Rhinolophus ferrumequinum: one gene and its partners. The protein of the gene in region 3 interacts with the protein of the main gene of each other region in a pairwise test. Links are inferred from orthologs where the notes say so. Each region holds a gene or a part of one and is shown on either strand. Other genes may lie near its edges.

Region 1 (3,818 bases), on a different chromosome or scaffold from region 3:
GTTTTCTGAATCCCATGCTTTTTTTTTCTTTATTTCACCATAATAGGCTTGCACGCAGTTAATAATCAGTAAATGAAAACCTTCATTATAATCATGAGAGAGCAGTGGACTAATTTGGGGATGTGGGAGAAATTTTTGAGCCTGTTAAGTGGTGCTCTTTTTCTACCTGGCTGTTCAACTCATTGCTGAAAAGAGTCTTATTAGTTTATCTCAGAAAAATTGGTTCCAATGTGATTTGCTTCACATCAGTTTCCCTTCCAATCACAATGCCATGGGGTAGTGTGTCCACTGTCCTCAATGTCCTTTCCCCTGCTTATCTCAAATCCTTCTCGGTGACCTAGTCAGTTGTTATTATCCCCACTTCCCAGCTGGGAAGACTTAGGCCCAAAGAGATTTTCATTGCTGTCCCCACTGCACCTGTTATTCAACGAGGATTCTTTGAGAAACCCCTTTGTGACCCGCAGAGTGCCTGGAACTACAGGTATTATATCAGAACAAGCCAGGAGAAAGTGAGTGAATGTGTCAGCTGACGCTTACAGAAGGGAGGGACTTTGGGTAATCCCTAAGAGTCCGGGAGTGTGGGAAAGTCAAGGTTCATTGAAGGGTCACACCTCACTGATTGTTCCAGGTTTCTGAGAAGCTCCATTATGTCCCTCCGTTCGGCCCTTTAATCTCCCTTTTTCCCCTCCCCCTCTCACCCCAAAGGCAGGTGGTTCAGGGTTCTCTAAAGTGTTTGTGAATGGCTCCTGGCCATTCTGGTGACATGTCCCCCTCCAAGTTCTATATTTTCCTTCCTGGGCCCCAGGCTCTTGCCTAGAGCAGAAAAGAGCCACCAACACTCTACATGGCAAGGTCACTGTCTTTGCCTGAGTTTCCTGCTTATGAAATAGCAGCTGGGAGAGCCAAGACCATTCTGGTTGGGCCACACCCACAGGGAGAGGTATAAGGGCAAAGGCGGGCCCTGGCCACCTCAGCCCTACCTGCTCTCACTATGAAGCCCAGCAGCCTGGTCCCCTTTGTGGTGCTCCTGTCCCTTGGAATCCTGACGTTGAGGTCTGTGGAAGGGGCTAGCAAAGGTGAGTCAGTCTCAGGCCATCCAGGTTCTCGGCATGGCCTCTTCCTTTTAGCCCAGGTGACCTGGAAGCCATATTTCCAGTGGTCCAGCCTATGGCCCGTAATTTCAAGCATCTCTCCGAGGACTTCAACCAAGAGAGTTTCTGAGCTCCTGGAAACCCACCTTTCACCAAATGGACCTGTTGACCTCAGTACTTGTCATACTGTTTCTTTCTCTACGGTGCCTTCTCTACTGTTTGGTCGTTTTCTCTGTCACATTCTTTTCGTCTCCATCTGTGTAATTTTCCAACTTGTTCTCTTTTTCTCTTACTAGCTCTTTTTTGATGGTCACTTTCTCTTTCTCTATTTACTTATCAGTTGATCTGCTCTCTTTCTTTCAATCTCTGATGAGTTGTCTCTCCTGCTATCACTGCCCCTCTCTGTGTTCCTCCCAGCCAGGGTGTATCTCTCCCTCTACCTGGGCCGGGAACACCTAACCGTGAGCTCTATGCAGCTGGGTCCTGGAACTGGCTCATACTGGCTTGCAATAGCTGACTGGTAAATTTTCAAGACTTTTGTGGGCTAGTTGACATCACATTGGTAGCTTGAAATCAATTGTGAAGGGAGTATTTACACCATGGAAATTGGCGAACACTACAAAATCTCCCTCTTAAAACATTTACCAGCACACCACCATCTGTGTCTTCTTCCCTGGGCCATTGACACGCTCTTGGTTGAGAGCTTGGCTGAGCTTGCCACTGCCCCACACCTGCCTTAAAACTGGAATCCTAACTGCTCCTTCCCTTCTTTTGGGGTCAGCCACCTGGGTTAGGTTTTCTCTCCCCTCCTGAGAAGCTGGTTCCTTGTCCAGGATTATGGTCATGACTCAGAATCAAATCTTTCTCCTTCCTTTGTTCTTACCCTTCAGAAAAATCTAAATATGGAGCCTGCCCCTTCATATCCCCGGCGATGTGCCTTGTCTATGAACCCCCTCAGTGCCACAGTGACTGGCAGTGTCCAGAGAAGCAGAAATGTTGTCCTGACCTTTGTGGCATCAAATGCTTGGATCCTGTAGACCCATCAAAGCCAGGTGAGGAAGTAGAGTCCTGGAAAGGGGGACCAGGGAAATTTGAACGTGAGGACACGCATCTTGGAGAAGTGGAGGGGGCTTCTCTGAACTAGGCTGGATAATGGGGCAGAATCAGGCCTCGTCCATTCCCAGCTCAGCATTCTCAGGTTTTCAGTTGGTCAGTAGGTAAGCCAGTAGCCATTGGCCAGTCCATGAGTCAACTCATTGACAGCAGTCAGTCAGTCAATGAGTCAATCTGTCCTTCAGACATTTACAACACTGCTGGGAGCCTCCTCAGTGGGAAGGAATCTTCTTCAAGACATGCGCTTGACTCTGTTTGGGTACGGAGGTAGGGGAGGACCTGATTTCCATGCATGGGATAGAGATGGGGAAGGGAGCTTGGATGGTGTCTAGGGGATCAAGCCTCTGAGTAGTGGCTTTCTTCTCACCAGTTGCGGTCAACCCTGAGAATTGTCCAGTAGTCATTGGCCAGTGTAAGATGCTCAGCCCCAAAGACGACTGCCTGAATGACAGCCACTGCCTGAACGGTTTCAAGTGCTGCAAGGGGATGTGTGGAAACTCATGTGTCAAACCAGTGTGAGGTAAGGAGAAGATCTGGCAAGTCCACATTCCCCCCATCCTAATACAGCCTCAAACTCCGTGTGCTCTTCCAGGTAAAGGGGGACGCTTAGCGTCTCCCTGCAGCCCGCACCACCAAGCAGATCCTCTGCCCTTCAACAGTATTCACCCCCTGTTCTCCAAACAAGAAGTCTCCAGGCTCACTTGTGATTGGTAGTGCTGGGTCCTGGGAGGGAAGGATTCTTGGAATGAACTAGGAGGAAGGAGCCGTGTCACAAGGCTGCACAAGTTCTATCTTTTAATATCATCTCTGCCTCTGACTAACTGTGTGACTATGAGCAACTGACTGTATCTTCCATAACTTTTGTTTCCTAATCTGTAAAATGGACACAATTATATTAGTTGGTACAAAAGTAATTGCAGTTTTTTCCATTAAAAACCGCAATTATTTTTGCACCAACCTAATATCCACTGAGATACTACCTGTAAAAGTACTTTTTAAGATTGAAGTCCTATGTGCATTGAGTATTGCTATGGTTGTGGCCTCATTTGGTTGGGTTATCTGGACCCACAGGAAACCCTAGTATGATGCACAGATTTGGAGGCCCGATGCTCTGATTTTACCAGAGGGAAGACTAAAGCAGAGAGTCAGTGAAAAGCCTGAATTTGTTCTAGATTCCTAGATGAAAGACCAGTACTGTTTCAACTATTCCAGCACCGTGTTCTCTTGCACTCTCTTTATCCCAAGGGATTTCGGGCGTGATGGCAGAAGGGGAAAGATGTAAGGGGCACTTACTTGGATTGTTCCTGTGCTGAGGCTCTGTTTTATTTTCTTTCCACAAATTTATTTTTATCAGTTCAAAACCATTATGATTTCCTGGTATCTGCGGTCTGGGGATTCCTGCCGCACCCCCACCCCTGAAGCCTGGAGAAAATGAGAGTACCTTGATGAAGATGTAGCTTTGTAACCAATACTTTCTTGAGGTCTAAGTTTGGACCTGTTTTATCAACGTACGCCCAGCATCCAACATGAGGCTTGGCACACAAAAGGAACTGTCTGTTGATTAATGAACAAATAAATGTACAAAGTTTTCTCTACACTTCTATCTTCCTTGAC
Region 2 (3,818 bases), on a different chromosome or scaffold from region 3:
CATGAGCCCCTTCCCCCCAGGCTGGAATCCACGCCACATCATTCCTGGATGGCCTGGCAGGCATCAGACATGCCAGGAATGGACCCAGCTGTCGACCTGGCCCAGAAAGGCATCCCCCCACCCTCACCCGCGTTCCCCTCCAGCTGCTGCAGGCTTCAGAGAAGGAATGAGGATGGCCACGCAAACGGGGGTAGGGAGGGGAGCTGTTTCCTCTGCCTGCCCCCCTCTGCTGGGACGAACACCACAACATAACTGCCACCAGGCTCCTGTCCTCCTTGGAGAGGACAGTGGTCCAGGAGCAGGCTTCCGCCTCTGCTTCGGTTACTATCACCCTAATGAGGGGCTGACAGCCCCGCCCTCTACTGGAGGAGATGGGTGAATCTGCTGTGGGTGCCATCCTGTTCCAGGCACTTTTCCACATTGCCTGGGGTTCTCCACACTTTGCAAAGCTCCCAGGAGTGCCACTGAGGCCCCATTTTTCTTCCAGACACCCTGTGGCTCACTGGCCAGACACAGGCTTGGGGCCCCTCCCAGCAGGGTGTGGGTCTGCCCTGAATCATCCATGTTACCCCAATCCAATCCCTCTGCCACCCCCAGATGGGGTGGGGTCCCCGAGTAAGCCCAGCTACTTGAGATGCTATGGGTTGAGGTGGGGGCGACAAAGGTCGGTTCTCACTCAGCCCCCTGGATGAGATTTTAGGGGATACAGGCAGGGGAGGGCCATGCTTCATCCAAGGCAACGGATCTGTGTAGTCTGGTCTCCAACTACCCCCTGAGCACCCTCCCCCCACCAGCCCATGCTGGGCCTGGGGCCAGCCTGCCTTGGGGGCTCCTGGAGGTGGAGGAAGAAGTATCCAGAGGTCGCCACAGGACCCATGTGGCTGGACAGGAGAGAACAAAAGTCTGAAAGCTGAGCTGGGTGGGGGAGGGGTGGGCAGGGTCCTGACAGACAGATTTAGGCAGGTCCAGCAACCACTCCCCTGTTCCCCTGGCTCTCCGCACTCCCCTCACACCGGAGCTAATTTGAGCACTGGTTGCGGGAACTCGAGCAGCCCAGAGGCCCTCACTGGCTGGTCCCCCACCAGCACCCGATCCTGAAGGCTCCAGTTGTCTGGAGGAGGAGGGATTCTTCAGTAGCCCTGGGGGAGGGGAGAGGAATCTGAGAGGGACTGACTCCCCTTCCCTGCAGCAGAGTGAAAGGTGAACATCCCTAGACCCAGAGAAAGGGGTCTGCAGGAATATACCTGTGAAGGTGCTGGGGCAGAAATGCCGTTCCTAGGCCAAGTGGGGAGGGAGCACGGGAGGCGTGGAGCCTTCTGGAGTGGATCCCAGTGTGTGGGGGCATCCAGGGGTACGGTCTCCCAGCAGAGGGCTGGAGGGGCCAGGCCATGCTGGGCCAAGGGTGACTAGGCTGTGCTGAGCCAGCTGGACAGCACAGGACTAGGCAGCAGGGACACTGTCTCCAATGGGGGACAGTGGGAAGGCCCAAAGGCGAGGGAGGAGGTGGACGGAGCCATGGGGCTAGGTGCCCGGAGGGGCCAGCTGCTGGAGGGTCCGGCTGGCGGGCATCTGGTCAGCTGCCAGGGCTGAAACCTGAGCTGGCCAGCTGGAGCTCGGAGGTCTGTGAGAATGAGGGGGACTCAGAAGCCACTATGGTGGGTGCTAGGAAGCTGTCTCTCCTCACCAGCATCCAGAGCTGCCTGATGGGCCTGGAACTGTAATAGCAAATGATGGTTCTACGTGACCTCTGCCTGGCCCTGGCCGTGGCCCCTGGCCTCTGACCTGTGACCTTGGCTTAGCCCAGTCCCCTGAAGGCAGGAGGCCATTGAGGCCACATGCTCCATTCCTGGCCTAGGCATTGAGGAGATCCAGGGGGTGCCCATTGTGGGGAGGAGGGGGTGGCCTGTGCTTCCTTCTACCCATCCTACTCCCTCATTGGGGAGGCCGGGGGACCAGCAAGGAGTGTGCAGGGTGGTGGGCTGTGTGCTGGGACCTGGTTCCCCTGGGCACAGGGCCCTCCCAAGGAAAAGTGGGTTCCTGGAAGGTAGAGCCTGAAGCTGCCAACGCTGGCAGGGCACACGGAGGGGGGCTTGGACTCCCCTCAAGACTAACGAATGTCATCCGCCAACTTGGCCTGGGGTTCCTACAGAGATCTAGCCTGCCAGCAACTCCAGCTGGGCAGTTCCCCACTCTCCCTGCCTCCCACCACAAGACTGACTACTCCAGTTCCCAGTAGAGCTGAGGGGCACACCTCAGAGGGAGGGGCTGGCCTGCTAGGCGGTCTCCTGGCCAGCTCGGCTCCCTGTCCAGTCCAGGGGGAGGCAGTTCCACTCCACTTTGGACCCTCCTACCCCCGGGACCCAGAGCGCCCTGGACAGCGCTGCCCCACCCAGGACCATCAGCTCAGGGGCCCCTAACGGCAACCAGGGCCAGTAGTACCGGGGACGACGGGGCGACACACTCTAAGACACCGTTGGGCAGTGCAGGGGGCCAGGGACCCCCGCAGGTGCCCATGCCTTACCTGGGCTAGCAGCCCGAGGGCGAGAAGGAGCACGGTTTCCATGGGCCGGCGGCGGGGCGACTGGCCGAGTGTCCGGCCGGGCCCGAGCTGTACCTCCTGCTTCGACAAAACCCGGCTGAGTGACAGCACAAGTGCGCGGGCGGTGGACAGAGTGAGTGACTACACGTGGCCGGGGCGGGGCCTGGTGCTGAATGACAGCACAAGTGCGAGGGCTGGGGGGCCGCATGTGTGCGTGGGGGGAAATGGGGGCTGGAGGGCGGGAGGTGGAGCCGGCGGGCTGAGTGAATGACAGTACGAGTGTGGCGGCGGGCCTGGGGCTGAGTGACAGCACAAGTGCGCGGGCGGGGCCGGGGCGGGGCCGAGTGAGTGACAAAATGTGTGCTGGGCGGAGTGGGGGGGGCTGGTCCAGGACAGAGTGACAACACATGTGCAGGGGGCGGGGGGAGGGGCGGGACCTGGGCTGAGTGACAGCACGCGTGTGGGGGCGGGGACTGGGCTGAAGAACAGCACACGTGTGGGCTGGGCTGGGCGATGAGTGACAGCACAAGTGTTAAGAGGGCGGGCCAAGGGCTGAGTGACAGCACGTGAAGCCTCTCGAGAGGCTGAAGGCAGGCCCAAGGACAGGCCCTGGCAGGCCGGGGAGTCAGGCAGCCGTCCTGGGATGCACAGCTTGCAGGGTCAGGCCATGGAACCAGGCCTGTCAGAAAAGGCAGCATTCTGTGAGGGTTGGGCTTTCTCTCTCTCTTTCTCTCTCTCTCTCTCTTTCTTGGTCCCCAAACTCGCCAGGCACACTCCTGCCTCAAGGCCTTTGCAATGGCTGTTCCCCCTGCCTGGAATGCTCTTCTCTGCTCTTTTCCAGGCTTGCTGCTCGCTGCCTTGAGGCTTTGTCTAATGGCATCTCTCCACCATCCTACTAGACACTGTTACTACCCAGCATAGTTATCTCCCATCTCCAATCCCTCTTGCTGAATTTGTTCCCTGCTTGGGGTGGAGCTCCCCTGGGGCGGGGTTGTTCCCTTCGGACTCCCAGGGCTAGCACAGCGGAAGGCCAGGCACAGACCCAGCCTCCCCCACTCCAGTCAGAAGCCTTTTCTTCTTCCTCTGGTCTCTGGTCTCCTTGGTTGGCAGGTATTTGGTTAGGATCTGATCGCTCTCCTCAAGACCCTGCATGCCTGGTGTGCATGTGTGCGTCTCTCACAGGTCCAGCAGAGGTAAGGGAGTAGGGAGAGGGAAGAAGGGGAGGAAGAACCTGTGGACCAACGTGCTTTCTTCTGAGCAGGAGCAGTGGGGCATGGAG
Region 3 (3,600 bases):
TCCGTGGGCGCTCTGCCCCTCCAGCAGGCATTCCACAGCTCCTGTCACAGACACAGGTGTCTGCAAGCTGGTACCATGTTCCTCCCTCCTATCCTAGAACCCCTCTTGTATCCAAGAAGGGCTGCCCCCAAACTAGAACTCGGGTTCCAGCCCAGCCCTGTTTTCTTCAAAAATGCCACCAGGATGTCCTGCACACTCAACAAATCCTCAACAGCTCCCTGAAACGTCACGTGGGCGCACACATGACCCGTCACCATGGGTGTGTCACCCGCTGGGCCTAATCTGAACCCTCTGTGCTCCACGCAAACCGACTGCTCGCCTTTCCTCTGACCCACTGGGGAAACTCTTACTCTATCTTCCACACTAAGCTTCAAAGTCACTGCCTCAGACAGAGTCTGGACACCTTCTTTTTCCAGCAAAGACCAAGTACGATTCCCACCTCTGGTCCAGCACCTCCTAAAAGGCTGTAGGACACTTTCCTGGCCTGTCTTACCCCAGTGGACTGTGGGCCATTGGATAGATCATCTGCCCTTGAACCCCAGCACTTGGGGGCGTTTGATCCATATGGACTCAAGACAACATAAGGTCACTGTTAAATTCAGAACCACACAACCAGGTTCCCTGTGGAGGTCATTCTCTTTGGGACTTGGTTTGCTCATTAGATCTTCAGTCTCACCTACCTACTCACAATCCCCTTTATTCCTTCAGTCCTCACTGAGCATTTCCTACCTCAGCCAGCATTGGGATTTGGCAGAAAAAATGCAGGATAGAGTAAGACTACAGCTCTCGACCTGGGGCCGAGGTTAACTCCATTTACAGTCACTCATCCTTCCAGAAGACTGAATTGTAAACCTCAGGTGAAATCCTTGGAGTCCCAAGGACCTTCCAGGCACTGAGCTAAGTGCTGTACATGCAATGGCTTATTTCGGAGGTTAGTAAACATTTTCAGAAAAGGGCCAGAGTAAATTCCTTCAACTTCCCAGGCCACAGGGTCTCTGTGGCAACGATTCAACACTACTAATACAATGTAAAAGCAGCCACAGATAAAGCCTATGCGATTGGTGTGGCTCTATCCATAAAACTTCATTTACAAAAACAAGCTGCAGCTGGACTTGCTCCCCTGACCAGTTTGCTGGATGCCTGGGTTGCTTTGTCTAATCCCCATCCCACAGAAAGGAAAACTGAGGCTTAGATGGATAGGTTGCCTCTCAAGGTCACCCAGCTAAGTCACAAATCAGTTTTGAACCCAGGCAGTCTGACTCCAGAGCTTAAACGCCAAAGTACCCTTTCCTGTCCCCACAAAAATGGGTGCACACACAAAACCTTGCACATGATTTCTTGTGCCTCCCCGCTCAAAACCCTCCTCCTCAAGCTCTTGCTGGTGAAGAACCAGTGGTATAATGGTAGGGTTTAACTTTGGGACTGCTGACATTTGGGGCTGACCATTCTCTGGGGGGCCGTCCTGGGCACTGTGGGGGTGTTGAGCAGCACCCCTGGCCGCCACCCATTCAGTGCCAGCAACACCCCAGTCATGACAACCATAGATGTCCCCATTGCCCAGTGTCCTCTCTGGTGGACAAAACCACTGGTCTAGAGAGAGGAAAAACAGACTGGTCATTCTCCAGTGAGCTCTTAACAAGCACCAGGAATCTGATTAAAAAATGTTCTAGGTATATTTAACCTCACAATAACCCTAGCAGGCATATATTTCTACAGTCTCTCTAGCAGAAGAATGGTGCTGCTCAGAGAGAGAAAGCGACTTGCCCAAGCTTACACAGCCAGCGGGAGGTGGTGGAGCTGGTCCTCAAGCCCAGATTTCTCCCGCCTCGCGTACAGCATGCAGAAGAGTCTAAGAGTGAAATAAGACTAACTGCTGATCCCTCTGTGCTCTCACTCTGCGCTGCGCTCTGTGGCTTTAAAACCACCACCCCCCGTCCCGAACCCCCCCAAGGCAGTGACTGTGACGACGCCCGTTTTACAGAGTGGAAAACTGAGACTCTGAGAAGTCAAGAGGGTGGCCAAGGTCACCCAGATGGAGAGCGGCGGCGCTGGGACAGGAGCCCCGACCTGAGCCTCACGAATGGGGGCCCCCCAATTGAAAGGGGCTGTTTCCCGACAGCAGCGGACACCCATAGCGGTATAACTACATGTGGGCGCTCTTACTTCCCGTTGTCTACCCACGGGCCTGAGAACTAGCATTTCCCGGGCCTGGGGTGCGGAGGAGGAAGGCCAGAGCTGGCAAGGGCCTGCCCGACGCCACCCAGCCTCAGTTTCCCCTCCGTGCCGCCCACTCACACAGCACACTGTTGTGGATCGCGGCGACCCCAGCCTCAGCCCGATCTCCCCTTACGGACCCCAAGGCCCCGAGAGCCCCGAGCCGCGGACCCCAGGCCCGCCCGGCTCAGCGCCGTGCCCACCTACTCACCGCTCAGGCCGCCGAACCCCGACCCACCGACGGCTGCGCCTGCGCACCGCGGCGGCGCCCAACCCCGCCCCCCCAGGCGCGACGCCTGCGCGGAAAGAGCCTCCTCGCGCGCTGGCTGTCATTTTGCGCAAGCGCGTCAATTATTCAGGTGGGCGTGGGGGGAAGTGACGAAGGTTAGAGGCGGGAACGAGCTGGTCGTTAGGGCAACTGACCTCTGCGACCGAGTGAAGGCCGGAAATCAAGACTGATTCGTCCTCTACAGCGGGAAGAGAGCGGTGCATGGTGGGACAGTGGCGGATTTCTCCGTGATAGCGGAGCGGGTCACGAGGCGCCGAGCTGGCCACGTGGTACAGCAGCATTTGGGTCTCGGGCGCCTAATTGGACGCAGGCGCTCTGTGAATGCGAGCAACTGATATCCACTATCTTTGTTCATTTATTCATCCACCCATTTACCCACGAATGCATTCATTCATTCTTTCAAGCCATAAATTGTAAAGGAATACAGAGATTGTTCACTGCAGGTCCCTAATAGTCAACAAACAGGTATTGCAAACCAAGTATAAAGACCAGCAGTGTTCACTCTCATTACCTTGTATTGGGGTAGACGGATTATAGTATAGTACACTAGTATATAAATGAATAAATTTCACTTAATGGGCAAGCGCTGTGAAGAAAAAATGGGGTGTTGTGCTTGTGATTGGGGAGGTAAGTTGGCTGGGATCGTCAGGGAGGGCCTTTTAACTGGATTTGAAGAATGAGGACAAACACTCCACGTACAGGGAACAGTGGAAATGAAGACTAACATAGAATTAAGCTTGGTATACTTAATAGAGGGTAAGTGATGAGAAATACCCTAGGATGACTCAGAACTGCCTACCACTGATGTTAAAGTTGCCAGAAGAGTTCTGCCGATTCGTTTCTATATTTAAAACGTATGCACGTTTAACGCCCTGGATTATTTTAATTTCTTTTGCAGAAATGAAGGAGGTGGGTTTGTTTTTGAAGTTTAGTTCTAGTAAATTTTTCTTTCTGGGTACTTTAGACGGTTTAAGATTTTGTTTGTTTTAACAGCGTTGTTTCGAAACACCTGTTGTTTGAAGTTCTGGATCCGTTTACTGAAGCTTTCTCGAGCATACTTAATTGCTTACGTTTCTGTTTTTTGTTTTGTTTTTTTT

Evidence for each region.
Region 1: the proteins of SGTA (region 3) and antileukoproteinase interact in binary tests that used the Homo sapiens proteins (3 or more experiments, as listed by UniProt). The two-hybrid records come from large-scale screens. The link is inferred for Rhinolophus ferrumequinum from reciprocal best matches to the Homo sapiens genes SGTA and SLPI.
Region 2: the proteins of SGTA (region 3) and CDH15 interact in binary tests that used the Homo sapiens proteins (3 or more experiments, as listed by UniProt). The two-hybrid records come from large-scale screens. The link is inferred for Rhinolophus ferrumequinum from reciprocal best matches to the Homo sapiens genes SGTA and CDH15.

What each region holds. Positions count from the first base shown.
Region 1 is NC_046306.1:12,646,985-12,650,802, reverse strand, and holds antileukoproteinase, read left to right. Parts: upstream 1-953; 5' UTR 954-991; coding exon 992-1,076; intron 1,077-1,981; coding exon 1,982-2,143; intron 2,144-2,574; coding exon 2,575-2,723; 3' UTR 2,724-3,544; downstream 3,545-3,818.
Region 2 is NC_046298.1:33,753,277-33,757,094, reverse strand, and holds the start of CDH15 (cadherin-15), read right to left. Parts: upstream 2,696-3,818; 5' UTR 2,564-2,695; coding exon 2,522-2,563; intron 1-2,521. UniProt on the Homo sapiens protein: Cadherins are calcium-dependent cell adhesion proteins. They preferentially interact with themselves in a homophilic manner in connecting cells; cadherins may thus contribute to the sorting of heterogeneous cell types.
Region 3 is NC_046301.1:60,670,308-60,673,907, reverse strand, and holds the start of SGTA (small glutamine-rich tetratricopeptide repeat-containing protein alpha), read right to left. Parts: upstream 2,548-3,600; 5' UTR 2,426-2,547; intron 1-2,425. UniProt on the Homo sapiens protein: Co-chaperone that binds misfolded and hydrophobic patches-containing client proteins in the cytosol. Mediates their targeting to the endoplasmic reticulum but also regulates their sorting to the proteasome when targeting fails.